Linked DNA regions of Tamandua tetradactyla. The protein of the gene in region 1 purifies or fractionates together with the protein of each later gene. This does not show direct contact. Links are inferred from orthologs where the notes say so. Each region holds a gene or a part of one and is shown on either strand. Other genes may lie near its edges.

What was found. The genes of interacting proteins can lie anywhere in the genome.
Region 2: the proteins of DNAJB6 (region 1) and BAG2 purify together in Homo sapiens (affinity purification with mass spectrometry; 4 studies listed by BioGRID and IntAct, with this or other methods). This does not show direct contact. The link is inferred for Tamandua tetradactyla from reciprocal best matches to the Homo sapiens genes DNAJB6 and BAG2.

The regions. Positions count from the first base shown.
Region 1 is NC_135327.1:203,494,810-203,503,341, forward strand, and holds the start of DNAJB6 (dnaJ homolog subfamily B member 6), read left to right. Parts: upstream 1-5,255; 5' UTR 5,256-5,517; intron 5,518-8,532. UniProt on the Homo sapiens protein: Has a stimulatory effect on the ATPase activity of HSP70 in a dose-dependent and time-dependent manner and hence acts as a co-chaperone of HSP70. Plays an indispensable role in the organization of KRT8/KRT18 filaments.
Region 2 is NC_135331.1:116,193,005-116,200,761, forward strand, and holds the start of BAG2 (BAG family molecular chaperone regulator 2), read left to right. Parts: upstream 1-4,228; 5' UTR 4,229-4,315; coding exon 4,316-4,428; intron 4,429-7,757. UniProt on the Homo sapiens protein: Co-chaperone for HSP70 and HSC70 chaperone proteins. Acts as a nucleotide-exchange factor (NEF) promoting the release of ADP from the HSP70 and HSC70 proteins thereby triggering client/substrate protein release.

The sequences.
Region 1 (8,532 bases):
TATAATTCCAGAGTTTCATACGCAAATACAAGGTATTTTTATTCTTCCCACCTTTTTACATAAAAGGTAGCACAATATACAACCTGTTCCTCCCTTTTTTTTTTATTTAGGAATTTATCTTGATAATAAGATAAAATGATTTCTAAAAATATATGTGTAGCTAGAACTGAATAATCTATAATACACTAAAGTTCTTGTTGTTATGTTTGACTAATCAGGAACTAAACTGACATTTTTAGTACAAACTCTGGGCAATTTGTTTTGAAGGCAGGAACCTAAAGTAAAGCACATATATATGTAAGATTCTTCAAAGGTCATGACATCTTGGATATTCTTTGAGATTTTTGATTTACATATATTCCTTTGAGGCTTTGAAGGCAGAATATTCATTTGAGAAACATATATGTATGTGAAATATCCCATTTCTCATATAATATAATGCCCTGTGCTTTCATGATACCTTTTATCTGAGGAGCTCAAAGAACTAATTATTTCCAACGCCTATATAGGTTACGTTAAGTATCATTATTTCTAATTTACAGATGGGGAAACTGAGGCTTGTTAGCTCGGTTAAAATCATAGCAACATCAACATTAAAGTTTTACTGGTCATTTAGGATGCATGGCACAAAAATAAATTCATGCACCACATCAACGTGGTAATTACTTAAAAACACCTATTTTTATTCTCTGGCCTCTGAACAAAAACTGTTCTTTTTCCACTCACCTGAAGAAGAAAAATATTCTATGAGCAATGTAAGTATTTGAAGTGTTAATGAAATTTTTCTCTACTCCTTTTTTCTTTTGAGAAGTCTAAACAATCTTCTCTAGTGCTTCACCTTTTAAAATTTAACTATGTATTTTAATCCCTAACACTCCCCACAATTGTTCTTCCAAATTCATCCATTTTCTCAAGGCCTCCCATATTGAGAAAATCTTGGCCATTAGAATTTCCACATCTTATCTGTTCTCTATCTTTTCTTTTTTCCTGTTTTTTTTAAAATTTTTTATTAATTAAAAAAATTACAAGAAACAAACATTCCCAACACATACAATCAGCAATTCACAATATCATCACATAGTTGCATATTCATCATCATGATCATTTCTCAGAACATTAGCATCAATTCAGAAAAAGAAATAAAAAGACAACAGAAAAATATAACAAACAGAAAAAAAAAAATTTACAGGCCATACCCCTTACTGATCCCTTTCATTTTCCTGTTTTGAAAGAAGAAGTGTAAATCCTCTTTTTCAAAGTTAGTTCCTCTATCCCTGTACCTGGTTCCATATCTTCATGCCTACTCTGGGACTTAACTCCTTTAACTATTGCTTGCTCTCCAGCATCTTCAATTCCATCTCTTCCACTGGGTCCTTTGATCAGAAATATGCACAAATATCTTAATGATAAAAACACATAGACAAAAAAACAGAAACAACAAAATAAAACCGCATAAACCAAACCAAACCAACCTAAACTCTAAGCTCCTGGAGAGAAAGAGTCATGTTTCTTTGATTTATGCCTAAAGTCCAGCAAAATGCTGGAATATAGTAGGTATTCAATAAATGAATAAATGAAAACATATTTCTCTTGCTTGTCCCACAATTTCATTTCAACTTCGTACCACCTCACATACTACATAGGCCTCTTGGATGGACTTTTGTCACTCATAGTACTTTTATAAAAATTATTCTTAATGGTTTGAAAAATAATAAAATAAAAAGTTCAAACACAAGAATCACAAGGAAAGGAAGAACTATCTGAAATCTCACTATCTAGTATAAGCATTTTCAGCAATTTGCTGAATATTCTTCCCAGTTTAATGCATGTGTATGCATATATATATATGCATAAATGAACACAATTTTGCAAAAATGGGATACTATACAAGCTCTGTTTCAGTAATGTATTTTAGATATGTTTTATGTCAATAAATATAACCACATTTTTTTAAAGGGCTGAGTGGTATTTTGCGGTAAGGTGGTACTGATTATTTGCAAAGTTGTAATCAACTTTGCAAATAAAAAAGACACCTTGTGTCTTTTTTCAAAAGCACATTTCAGTTTAAAAATCACCAAGCTGCAATTCAGAATGCTTACCCGGGGTCCCGAGACTGATGGATCCCCTCATATTGCCTATTTTTCTGGGGAGAGTCTATAATTTTTATCAGTTTTTCGGAGGCCTGGAACATAGAATGATTATTATTTAGAGTATTACTATGTTCCAGGAACTAAGTTAAGCACATACAATTAATCTTCACATCAAGCCAATTATCCCCATTTTACAGATTAGGAAACAAAGCCATGGAGAATGACTGGTCTCTACTTTTCTACACATTTTGCAAATCACAGATTTGTCATTGTTTGACTTCGATCATCTCATACCCTTGCTTCAACCTCTTCTATGTTTTCCCATCGTCTAGATGGTTCTCAGTTTTTATAACTTTCAATCTCTGTCTTTCACTATTCCTGTTTAGATGCTTTGCTTCAAAGCAGCTTGCTCACTTTGCACCTTGTTTCCTTAAGGTCACCAATTTCTTTTCACCCCATTTTAAATCCTTCCTCTCATAGGACTGCCCTACCTCAGAGTGATCATCTCCCTCTAAACTTAGTTTCCCACTAGCACCACCATTTGGCTTAGTGTTAATGTGAGAATAAAACCTTGACGCTGTAAGATCTTCTCCTTTGTTTTGCAAAGAGCTATTTAAATATTGCCATGTTATTTAATTTTGAAGGTGTTTACACCTGTTCTCTTCATCTACCATGTGAATTCCAGATTCCATTAGAGATGAGGCCTTGTTTTATACCAGTTGTTTTTTCTCATAATACAGTTCACTGCGTTAACAAGTGTTTTAATAAATTTTTGATTTTTTGGGGGGGGGGAGGGAGGATGTTATTTGTGGTTAGCCTGCACTTACTATTTAAAATTCACGTCTCTGTGCTGTCTGCATTTTAAGATTATCTCACACTTGCTGTAAGGAATTTATTTAAATGTGAAGTGTCAGATGATAATACTGTCAACACTTGAAGAAAAATAAAAGTTCATCAACTTGCTGTGGCAGACATGTTTACATGTGACAGTGCCAAACTGTTCATATATCTGAATGAAATTCCAGTTTCTGCTAAGATTATCTTAGGCTTTATCATGAGATGTCCAAACTAAATCAAATGTATTACTCATTTCTTTTGATTGGGAATCATAACCTACTAAAAAAACAGAGAATTGACTTTGATAAAAATATAAATATATTTTGATGATCATTTGCTAAAAACTACATATCAGGTAATACAATAAAGGCTTAGCAAAAACAAAAAATGAACAAAGAATATAAAGCAATCTTTTGTGAAATAGAAAAAGTAGAACCATGCCTACTTAACAGTTAAGTGTTCCAGATTCCTAAAACGGGTCATTAAGCAGCTATTATCAATGGAAAGTATAAAAAAAAAGTGCCTTTCCTCCAAGTATTTAAAGAACATAGGTGAAGGAGAATTCAGCATGTTGTTCAGTGTGTCTGAAAAACTGGCCACTGGAAATCAACACTAGCATATCTGTAGCACTTTAAGTTTGTGAAGTACATGGCAAAGAGCTTTTTTTATTTTCAAAGGAAACAATTAAGTGGACTAGGACAAAGACACCGAGGTATGAGACAAAGGTTTGGCTTGATATTATAGAGTAAAAACAGAAATCTGGACTAGGATTCATGGATTTAACTGCTCGTGGGCCTCACTGAACCTTGGATTTGTGGAGACTTTTTTCAGTACTTGAGACCACAGCATTTTTTATTCTTACAGGAATACTAATCAATAACTAATCATTAACTTCAAACTTCTTGTGTTGGGTTTTACCCTTAGAATCAGATTCCTTGCTGATGCAGGAAAGGCTTAGTCATGGCGGGACAGCCATAAATGCTCAGCTATCAAAACACACCAAATTGTCTGTAAACTTCAAAAAAATTTAAAAACTGCCCCTTATTATTTTGGGCCACAGCTTGCTTTCATTTCTTTCAGCCGCTTACTCCTTCGAGAAGCTTATAGGTTTTACTGCTTGCAAATCAATGAGTTAGGTTTCAAAGGGAATTTTAAGAAGTAATTAAGGTGATTCTCAGGAAGGTGACCGCAGCTTGACCCAGAAGGTCTGTGCCTAGTTATTCAACTTCTAACCGTGGCCATGGCCTGATTTTTTGTGTCCTTGACATGACAACACTAGGTTCTAGGTTTTTGCCTATATAACTTATTTCTGCTTTAGAGAAGAGTAACAGGGAAGGAGGCTGGTTAATAGTATTTGCACAATTTAAAATGAAGATTATCGGTAAAGACGGAAAAGTAAAATAACTATATCTTCACTGTTTTCAGGATACGGGCTCCTTATTTACTGCTAGACGGTTCCACTCTCACGTAGGTGCCGCATGACCTTTTAACAATACAGACTCTCAGGTGTCACGTCCAGGAATCTGATTCAGTAGCTCTGGGGGTGAAACCTCCCTGAACATGCATTTTTAAAAAGCACCCAGGAGGTTCAGACGCTGGAGCTGCATGCCCACGAGGGAAAAACCAGCGAGAAAGATCCCTTGTTTCTTCTATTCTAACCAAGACACCTTTCAACTTGGGGCTGGGTACTGTCATCAAGTTTCCTCTGGCCTTGCTTAGCTCACGATTTCAGTTTCGGCTCTAAAGGCACTCAGTGCTGGGACCTCAAATAGTTTTTCTTTTCCCTTCTTCCCCAATTACATATTCATTGCTCTTATTAAATTATAATCTCTTTGTGGGAGACTGTCCCTGGTGGTAACCCCATCCGAGTAATGAGCTCAGTGGCTCTCCCAACAATCGGTCAATGAATAAAGCACAGGGTACTTCAGCACAGCTGCCGGGTTCTCTCAATCAGACGCGGGTGAGGGCGACTGGTTTCCCGCACCCCACACCGTCACCTTGCAGAAGTGCGCCAACTTCCAATGTCCGTCTCCGCTTGCCCGCCGCCCTTAACCGTCACTGATTCCTCCGTGAAGTTAGAAGTGGGGAGAGGCCGTCCCAATTGGGGCGGTGCGTCCTCCTGAGCTTCTCAGAGAGGCCTTTCAGTGGCCCACCAGACTGAGGACACGAACCATGTACTCAAATCCGCTGTGGCGTTCCTCCAAGTCCACCGCATTGCAAAGCGTGAGACCCCCCCAGCACGACTCCCAAACCGGCAGATGGCGCTCGCTGGGGAAAGCACGAAGAATTTTCGGGAAGGCACCGGGAGGGGGGACAGGGAACGAGGCAGAAGAGGTTTTTAACCTCGTGGCAGCAACCGCAGCTGCGGCTGCCTCCGCACATTAATGGTCGGGCGGAAGTCGAGCGTCGCCGCGCTGCCCGACGCCTGACGTACTTCCTGTTTGTTGTTGGAGAAAGGGAGAGAAAGAAAAGCGCGAGGAATCGCTGCCACCGCCTCCAGCAGTACCAGCCGTGACGGAGCTGAGGGGAGACCACGGGCCTCGCCGCCCAGCTTCTCTTCCTTCCTGCCGCTGGCTGCCAACCTCCTCTGGTAAGGGAACGACCTCCCAGGCTGCGGGGGAGGTTTGGGGACGAGGGCACTGCCTCTGAGCCCCGGCTAGTGGCTGACTTGACCCGGCGCCTTAGCAACAGCATGTGTGTGGTGGATGACCCAGGTGTCGCGGCGCTGGCTGGCCTTTGGGAGTAGGGTGGGTTGAGGGAAAGGAATAAAGGCCTGACGATTCGTACTCGTTTCGAAGCAGTGAGCTGGGATGACCGCCCCGGAGTCGAGTCGGCGCCGCTTCTCCCTTCTCGGCCGGCGCTGCGGGCCTCTGGTGTCCTTGCTCCATACAGGGCTCCCTTCCTCCTCGGGGTTGGCGGTTGGGGGTGGGGCCCGTGCGAGGGACACCCGGGCGACGGCGGCGAGGGCCTGGGCTCCTGTTTCAGGCTTTTCTCTCTTATCCCTGTTGTGCGGAAACGTTGTCTCTCTCGACTTCTCTTTCTTTTCTCTTTTTTATCAATGGAAAGGGGTTGAAGGGCGAGGAGCTTTTTAATTTCCTTTTAAGCTCTTTTGTAGTTGACTCTGAAGCCAAAATCAGCCAATCTTTATCGGTTCGGAAAAGAGCAGAATTCATATGGTAGATAGTGCTGCCAAGTATGGAGCACAGGAAGCGGGTGGTGGGGATGCGAAAGCCCCCTTTATAGAACTACCGACTGATTTTTCCGTTTCTTGGTCAGCAAACGGCCTTTCAACTCACAGAAGAGGTTTATTTGCTTTGTTTCACTTAAAAACAAACAACAAACCCGTACTGTAGTTTTTATAAGGATAGCAGCTTTTGCCCAAGTAAGGAAAGAAGTTTCGTTGACACAAGAAGTGGTAATTGCAAACTTTTTATTATCTCGAAAAAGGTTTTTGGAGTAGTGTCTTTTTTTGTTGTTTTAAAAGATAATTTGATAGTAAACTTCATTACGCAGTTATATGGGGTTCTCATATAAACTAGAGGAAAGGAAATAGTGTAGAAGACTACTCTTGTCACCAAGAGGGACTAACGATAGAACTGAAGATTCCGGTATGTATGGAAAGAGCAGGCTAGCAACTGTTTGTATTTTCAGCATTTTATTTGAATTGTGAATTTGTAGTAAACTTCTATGGGTAGGATCTTTGAGGACAACTGATTGATTAGAGAAGTTAGACTAATCGGCACATACAAAAGAAGTTGAAAAACCTTGACTATTTGAATTTTGCTTGCTCTGTTCGCATGTAATCACAACTTTCTAAGGTACAAATCGGAAATGATAATGGCTTCTGAAAGGAATTAATTTGTTAATTGGCTCTGCATCTACTGCTCTACTACACTTCATTCTCTCTGGAAAGTTTAATCCATACTTTTTTCTTGTTTCTGCTATTGAGAATCTTCATCTCCTGTGGGGTCAGGAACTGTCTTTTATTTTAGGGGTCTGTAATAAGAAAATGAGTGTTCTTTAGACATACACTTCCTTTAATCCAGTCTAGAATTGTTTGGATTATGCAGAGTATGAAATTTGGGGAGTAAATTGACTTGATGTAGTAGCTTGTAGGTGTGGATGACTTGACAGGAAGTGGGAGGAGAACAAAAGGGATTGAGAAGGTGGTTTTTAAAAAAAGTCCTAGCTGGGCTTAGTGTGTTCCTGTAGGCAATGAGAAAGTTGGAAATTTAAGAGTATTGAGAGCATTTAAAGAATTTGAGATGACTTCAGCCCCTCTTCAAAACATCCATGTTTTAAAGTTTATTTTCTTTTGGATTTCAAAGTGTATGATTTGTGGGGTATTTCTAGTTTCTGGACAGAGACTGAACCTGGAGGGTTCGGGTGGGAAATATTGTTTGAGTAATAAAGTGAAGGCTAAATCATGGATATGAAATTACAGTATGATACTTGCAACTAGGTGGAATACAATAGCTTTCCTTTTTAAGTACACCCATTTTTTTTTAAGTGTTTAGAGCCAAAAGTGGATCCATTCTCCCATGCATTAACTTTATTTTGCACTGTTTCAAACAAATGTGATCGTACCCATCACTCCATTGACAGTTTAGTGGGTGGGATGATAAGCATTTTTTAAAGTTACCACATTCTCATAAAAGAGCACTTCAAAATACAGTAGGTCGTCGTCGTCGTTGTTGTTTAACTTGAACCTCACACATAGAGCAGAGCCATTTATTTGGTTTTCTGTAGAGCTCTGACTTAATTGAGATTTAAAAATTTTTTTTTATTGTATAGTATGACATATATACAAAGCAAAGAAAGAAAGGTAAATTGTTTTTAAATCCAACTTTTCAAGTTTGCATCTATATTTCAACATAAGGAATGCCATGTAAAGTATGATTGATATGATAGTACATATTCAACACCTTATTCTATTTTAAAGTTTTTAAATTCATCCAGGACACCCATCTAGTGGTGAAAGGCAGGTAATTGCAGGCTATTAGTGAATTAAGATAGGATTAGAGTGACAAGATAATAACAAATACTGTAGTTCTTCCTATGTCGGTAAATAGACCTTGAGAGCATTTCAGACTAAAAAAATTAAGGCTAATGGTGGTTATATGTGTTTTGTAAACTTATTTAGGGGGTGCTCATAAAATCACAGTTGAACCTTTTCGTGTGAATATCCTGCATGAGAGTGAAGTAAATTTTAAAAAGCCTTTTCTAAAGTCTGGGAAAATTAATCTCTAGAAAAATAATAAAAGTATACAAATTCCTAAAGGAATGCAATATCAAAGGAAAGAAGGCTCTGTGTTATTTATATTTCACATCTATTTCAAAAAGGATTTGGTCATAGCTTGGTTTTCTCATAAAATTTTTACTATGTCTATGTAAAATTCATAAGCAACCATAAGCTTAAATGTTTGTCTATCAAAAGACTCCTAGTAAGGAGTGGTATTTTAGGATTCTTAAGTTCAGTGACGAAGATAAATTTGTTGAAGGGTGATTTCCATACAGGGAATGTGATCTTACCCCCTTTAAAATTCTCTTACTGCCTTTTACCCCCCCCCCCCGCCCCAAAGCACTTATACCTTGTTTAATATTT
Region 2 (7,757 bases), on another chromosome or scaffold:
CTATTAGAAGAAGTCTTGAGGAAATGTAATTAAAGATATTACCACACAACATCAAGTGGCCTTGAAGATACTCTCAGGATAATGAATTCTTGAGTTTGTTTTCTAAAAGAGACAAGAAATCTACTAGCACAAGTGTATTTGAGAACATGCTTTTGCATTCACATGTTCAAAATCTGATATTTTCTTTCTGTTTGTGTGTAGTTGTACACAGATATACAGAAAGCACAGAATACTGTGCTAACAGATAAAAATCATGTAATCTAATATAAAAATTACAGTTTCCCAGTTAATTTTGAATGCCTATATTTAGATTAAAAGGATTCTTAAAAAAAAGAAAGGAAAGCTCTTGGTTATGGTCTGTATGTTTCCCAAATATCATTAGTCTTTAATTTTTTTTGTACTGTACAGATGATTCTAGTTTTATTTTTTTAGGAGTGAAAATGAATATAAATAAGTTGCTATAGCTCAGATTTCCTGTAAATTCTACTTCTCATGTGATATATCTTTCATATCTTTGTGGTTATTAGAAAAGAGTAATGAAAACTGATCATGGAAACAGATTAAAATTTTTACCAGCAGTGTTTTTTGTGAGTTTTACTGAAGTGTATATTTCTGCTTTAATTAGATATAACACATTGCTGGGATGAAAAAACGTAACTAATTTTTTTTTGCGATAATTAAAAGGCAGCCTTTTCCATTCCTTTTACCTGCTTAAACTTTTATATGACTTCTATGATCTGTTGTTTAAAAGGAATGCTAAAATATTTGCATAAAATTAAATTTATTTTTAATAATCTTAGTCCTTTTTCTTTTTACATAGCTGTGTAAACTTTTTATTCTTCAAAAATAATGAAGTCTACTCAGGAATATTCCTTACCCTTTAAATTTTTTATTACATATGGAAGTATTTTCATTTGAATTATTCATTGGATTAATCTCAGTTTCCTACATTTGATATTATATATTTAAGTTTTCAATGTTGAAGCCCCATTATAAATAGTAGAACACATTACATAAGTAGAAGACTATGAAGAGCTTGCCATACCTCTATTTGTGTATATGTTTCGTGTTTTTTGACCAGAAATGTCCTACCCCTAAAAGTTTTGAGTAGTAATTTCTCACCAAATTTTAAAATATTTCTATAAATCTAAAGCTTTCTTAAGATGAAAAAATGCCACAGCTAGCATTTTGTTCTTTCTCTGCGACACTGGATATTTTATTGTGAAATGGGATTACTGATGCTTTAATTGCTCTTGTCTTTTCAGTCCACACTGGAAACCAGTGTTTTTTAAGATGTCAATTTTGTTCTTCCCTGCTTGTATTTTTAAGACATATAGGATGAGAATTTACCAATCATCTTTCCAAAATGACCACATCATGCTTTTAATTTGTAAGTTAAAGTTGTCAACCAAGTCTTTAGAGGTAGTCAATGGGTTGTATCATCAAGATATCTTCAGGAGCTTGCTAAATAGTGAGGAACAGAAGGGACATTACAGGAAGAAGAGTGGTTAAAGCAGATGTGGAGCAATAGGAGGCAGCACCTCTTTTCCAGTGGTTCCACACATGGGTGTGATGTACACTGATTATTCAGAAGCTTTGTGGTGTGTATGGCAGAGAATAACAAGCTTTTGATATGACAAGAAGGGGATATTCATCATGATCCTAAAGAAAATGTAATTGTGGTGTTTCAAGTTTTAATCAATAATTGTCACCAATTGTATTTCTACTTGTTAAGCAATTAAAAATCATTTAAAAATTACATCATAATTTGCAATTAACTTAGACCCAAGAAGAAGGTATAATCAATGGATTACCTTACAGAAAGTTTTATGGGTTATTATCAAAAATGCTTTTTTTTCATTTCATCATTCATGAAGTATTTATTTATTTATTTATTTATTATTTATGTGTCAGGAACTATTCTAAGCACTTGGGATATACCAGTGAGCAAAACAGAGCCCCCTCTGTGGAGTGCACATTGGGGAGAGGAGGTTTGATAGAGTCATAGATAATAAGCAATTAAAAAAGTATATCTGATGGTGATACATGTAATGAAGGAAAATAAAGAAGGGAAAGAAAGGATGGTGGGTAGTATAGGGGTTGGTGTGTAGGAGGCTTGCTATTTTTAATAGGATGATCAGAAATGAGCTCACAGATAGGGAAATGTGAGCAAAGTCCTGAACAAAGTGAGGACCGAATCATGCAAATATACATAAGGAAGAGTGTTCCAGGTAGAAGGAACTAAGTGAAAAGGCCTAGACATGACTTTGGCATATTCATAGGATAGCAAGAAAGCTAGTGTGGCTGAAGCAGGGTAAGCTAGGAGAGTAATAAGAGATGAGGTCAGAGAAATAAAGGGAGCTGCACATTTAGGGTCGAGGTCTTTCTAAGGACTTGTACTCTGAGATGAGCAATAGAAGGTTTTTGAGAATAAGTGTGATCAGCCTTATTTAAAAGTATTACTGTAGTTACTGTATTAAGGATAGACAGGTGAGGCAAGAGTAGAAGCAGGTAGATCACATAGGAGGGTTTTGCAGTAACCCAAGTGAGAATTGATGATGCTTGGACTACATTAGTGGCAGTGAAGTTGGGGAGAAGAATCTGGGTGTATTCCGAAGATACAGCTGATGGACTTTACTAATGGATTGGATCTAGGATATGAAAAAAAAGAGTCCAGAACGATTATAAGTTACTTGATAGACTTTCAAACCTTAAAAAAATGTCTTTGGATTCCAAATTACTGAGATCAAATCATACACTACACCAGAAGTTTATTAATATATAGAATAAATTAGAATTAGAATCCAGACCTAAGGGTCTCAGCTCTGTTCATGTGTTTAAATGGCTTTGACCTCTAAAGTCTGTAATTCAGCTTTAAACTCATTTTCTGTGCCTCCTACATGTTTATTCCTTGCTTATGAAACTGAGATGGGAACAAAACATTTTTTTCCCTTTAAGTAGACATGTCTTTGCATTCCTAACCCTATCCATCTTTTCCTGATCTTTATGGTGTCTGACCTAGTAGCCTACCAATCTTGTCATTATTGTTAAGTTAAAATATTTGGATGTGAAATGGCTTTTTTAGTTAATACCGATTATTTCACTCAGATTCCCAAAGGAATAATTTTTTTGAATAAAGAGAAAAAAAAGTCATTAAATACCCCTTCATTGAATGGGTAGAAATGAAGTATAAATTCACTTTGCTTCTGTCAACCAAGAAATAAATTAAGTTGCGAGACAACAGAAGCGTTTATTTGGGGTATTAGAATTGCAATTCAGGGAGCATATATTTAGGTAGCAACCCAAATCGTGTCCCTCTTGGCATTTCCAGACAAGGGTTTTTAAAGGAAAAGATTAGATAAGTTGTTTGTAGTTGGACATTTGGGATACTCCACATGTCCTTCAGGTTAATAGTTTACTGAGTTCTTTATCTTTCGGTTTATGTGTCTGGATGTCCTTAGGATTTTGAAGAACATAGTTGCTTGAAGTTTAGCATACTTTGGCAGTTCGTGATCTCTGGCAGAGCCCTGTAAAAGAGTAACGCTCCGTAATGAGCTCCTGACTCCATTTTAAATTTCTTAGCCATGGTAACTGTACTTTGTTATTTCTTTTAACACGTCCCACATCCCGCTAGACAGAAAAAAAGCGTGGTAGCCTTTTCTTTTTTTCTCTATAGCTTCACTGTTGGTATTTAGGCTTATTCTAATCGGAGGTGTGACAGGACAGAGTTGTATCTCAGTGCCTTCTGCTCATGTCCGAGGACTTTTGTTCTTGCCGGGAGAAACTAAATGAAGCCATCATTGAGCACTACATTCACAGCCTGCTTCCAGGAACGCTGCGGGGGCGGAAGAGGGGTACTTTCAGGCTGCAAGGAGAATCGGGGCTTACTACTGGGGCCGAGGGGTGGTGTTTTGTGGTCTCCACACTGGTTTCGGGTTGTTTCAGGGTTCCGGGAGAAGAACCAGCAGATCACATTAGGTCCTTCCCGCTTTCTCTGTCCGTCACTTCAGGTGTTTCTGAAGCTGCTTGGTTTTGCTCCTCAGGCCCCAGTGGCTAGCAAGTCCTCCCCGCCCCCAGCCGCCGCAGCCCCCACCCAGGCCCCGGGCCCGTCCGACCCTAGCCCCGAGGGGCGCCTGCTCTCGGCCACGCGGCGGTGGCAGCGGCAGTGTCGGCACAGCCTCCCGGGCCGCCCCCCGCGGGCGTCAGAGGGAGGCGGGCGCCCCGCGCGGTGACGGCAACGCTTGCGGCCGCGGGAACACTCGACTCGCCGCTGCCAGGGCCGGTGACCTCTTGGCTGCCCCTTTCGGAGTCTCAGATGGCTCAGGCGAAGATCAACGCGAAAGCCAACGAGGGGCGCTTCTGCCGCTCCTCCTCCATGGCCGACCGCTCTAGCCGCCTGCTGGAGAGCCTGGACCAGCTGGAGCTCAGGTGAGGGCGGCGCGTGGGGCCGCGCGGGCGGGGGGCGCCCTGGGGGCCGCGCAGGCGGTTCGCGGGCGGAGGCCGAGCGGCGGGTCCGAGCCTGCGCGCAGCTTCGGGGCAGGCCAGCTGAGGCGCTGCGAGAGAAGTGCTTGCTTGAGACTTGTTTCTGTGAATTTTCTTCTCCTTCTCTGAGAGAAAACTGAATCGATTTAAGATAAACCTCTGTGGTCACATTGTCATTCACAGACCTGTTCGTTTGGGAGTGGAGAAAAATCAGAAAAGATAAAACTTACAGTGACACTGTTGGAGATTACAGACTGAAACCTCGGGTCCGCAGAATTTCTAGAACCTTCTCTGTGCCTATATATGGTCTTCACAGATGCTTGTTACTTTACTCCTTTCCCATTGTGCATTTTAAGGGAGGCAGCAGTTTCCAGTCTCTCCCCCCCCCCACCCCCAAAGTGAAGTGATTAATTTCCTTGCTCTAAAACGCTTCAGAGCAAAGGAAGGAGTGGTGGTGAGCTCCAGGAATCCATCCTATAGCAAAGATTAGAGAAGAGAGTAGAACAGATGCAAGACTGAGAGGTGAACAGTAGCTGGGAGCATTTTGTGGAATCGAGGCACTACAGCTTCCTTTTCTCTGTGACCGCGCGTACTGTACTCAGCCATTCTTTTACCTAGTTACGTAGAAGACACTGTTGACACCGTCTTGAAAGGTGATAGTCACTGTGGCCTGAAAGCTTGTAAACATAGTCGGTTTTTCTGTTTTACTTGTTACAAGATTTCTTTAAATCACATAGTGGTAGGTGTGTATAGAATTTCTAAATCATTTAGAATAAATTTTGGAAATGCTCTTTTCTTTCCTGTAAACGTTTATGTCTCTAAATTTCGATCACATGCAGATGTGCTTGGATGAAAATCTTAGGAAGGCACGTAAGGAACCCAAATTGTGCGCAAATTTTGTTCAATAGTTATCACGTATAAATAAATATGTGAGCCATAAAGTTTAAGAAGCACTGCATGTGTGTTTTTATCTCCCTTGATTAATATGTCAAAGCAAGAGGTATCCATTTGCCAAGAAACGTACATTAATAACCACAGTATTCTCTTAGCAACTGAGGAACTGAGGCATTTATTATTATTACTACCCAGAAAAGAGTCGAAGCGGGAGACATTCACCATGCACGATTTCGTGGATGGCAAACACAGAAACCATTTCTGGGATTCTGCTCAGAATGAGACAAATGGAACAACAGAGAAGTAATGATTCCATGTGTATTTCCACAAAACTAGTAAACCTGACCTGTTCAACCCCTCAGAGAAAGTGGAGCAAAACTAGAGTTCAGTGCCTCTGCTTCTTTTGTCCCTCTGATTTTTTTTTTTAATGTAGCAGTGTAAAAAGTAACTCACATTTTTGCAGCCTTTAAAATTAAGTAGGCATGATTTCAGGTGTTTTCAGGAATCTCTCTCCCTAATTCAGAATGAAAGAATTTTTCTTAAAGGAATGAGAGGGGTGTTGCATATTCTTTCAAGCTGAGTCACTGCCCTCGAACTTAAAGTAAGGCTTCATATATGGGTAGGTACAAAAGCACTCACGTGCTCCTCTTTAAAGAAGGCTTCTGGTTTTGAATATTATTATAGTCAAATATTTGAGTAATGTAAATGTATTCTAATTATTGCACATAAGCGATTAAATTACTTTGCTTAATTAACCTTGAATTATGAGGAAACATTACTGATTAATATCCATCTGTTTATTTCAAGGACATTTCTAGTAATTTCGAACTTTTAAAGCTTTGTTTCTTACTTTTAAAAAAATACCGACTGTACAGCACAAACTGAACCCTAATGTAAACCATAGACTATAATTAATAGTACAATTATAAAAAAATGTTATTGTCATCATTTGTAACAATGCTAATGGTCCATGCAAGCATGCTAATGCAAGCTGTTAATTATAGGGTGGATATAGGAACTCTGCATTTTATACATGATTTTTCAACAACTTCTCTAATTAGAAAAAAAAAGAAAAAATATTGACTGAAAACTTAAGAAGTATTTTAGAAGGTTAGCTAAACAGAGAAAAATGCTAATACTGATCCTATTAACATTAATTGAAACCATGGGCAACATCCCAGCCAGAGCTTACACTATTAAAAAAAAACTAGAATCATGCCTCAAGGATCAGTTTTTAAAAGAAACTAACATGAAATTCATGTTGTTGGTAACAGTTTAATTTCATATTAAAAATAACTAACAAAACAGTGTATTAGGTAGAGTGAAAATTATGGTTCATACTTAGATGCATGCATTTACTTACTGTTCCCCTACTATGCTGGTTTTGTTGATAATGGAAGAAACTTCTTCCATATGAAACTAAAAAAAGGATTAATACTAAATGCGTTACCTGGTATGAAATGGTGTATATGATGTTTAAAGAGCTTTAAAATGTTTTTGGCAGCATTCTACAAATTGTTGAAGATTTCCATTTGTTTCTAATACTTTATCGTGACACTAATTTTTCTTTTTTTATTCCATCTCCTTTATTCTTTTCCTCCTAAAGAGGTCATTCCTTCTTTGTTTTTCATAACCAATTCTAAGCATTCTGAATTTTGCATTTGGTAGTAGCTTAACATACCTTACTTATTGTTGCTTTTTAAAGTTATTGCAATTGTAATTACTTATTAAGAAACAAACACAGGCTAACTTTATTCATCTCATGAGCACTGAGTTTCATGCCAGGCTCTGTACCTTTGTGGAACTTATTCTGCAGATGGAAATTTAAAGCTTAAAAAGTTAAACGACTTGCCTAAGGTCACACCACTAGAGATTAATGGACTTCAAAATTGCCTGAATTTTCTTAAAGTTAAATATGTTACATTTCAAAATGTAGGAATGATATATGAATGAATATATTATGTTTATTGAAAGATAAATTCCAATTTAAATTGGCCCTTACTTTGTAAATATTGAACACCCACTTATATGCCAGACATAGGTGCCTCCTAGAATACTATGGGTGGTGAATTAAGATGTTTGGGGTTGGGTTTTGGAGAATGGGAGGGGAAAATGACAGAACTGGGAGACTGGCTATTGACAGATGTTCCAAAACTGATCATGTTGTGCCTCCTTTCCCCTTCCTATCAGGCATGTGCAATGGCTTAAACAGCAGCCAGGGAGTAAAGACTTGGGGTAGGGGGCTCATTTGTCTGGCTTAAAGTTTCTCATTAGGGTGTGCCAATGTCCCAGTAGACACAAAACAAGAGGGTTTCATAATTAATATTGTATAGTAGTCTATAATTTAAAAGAGCAATTTTCATTTACATTGTCATTTGTAC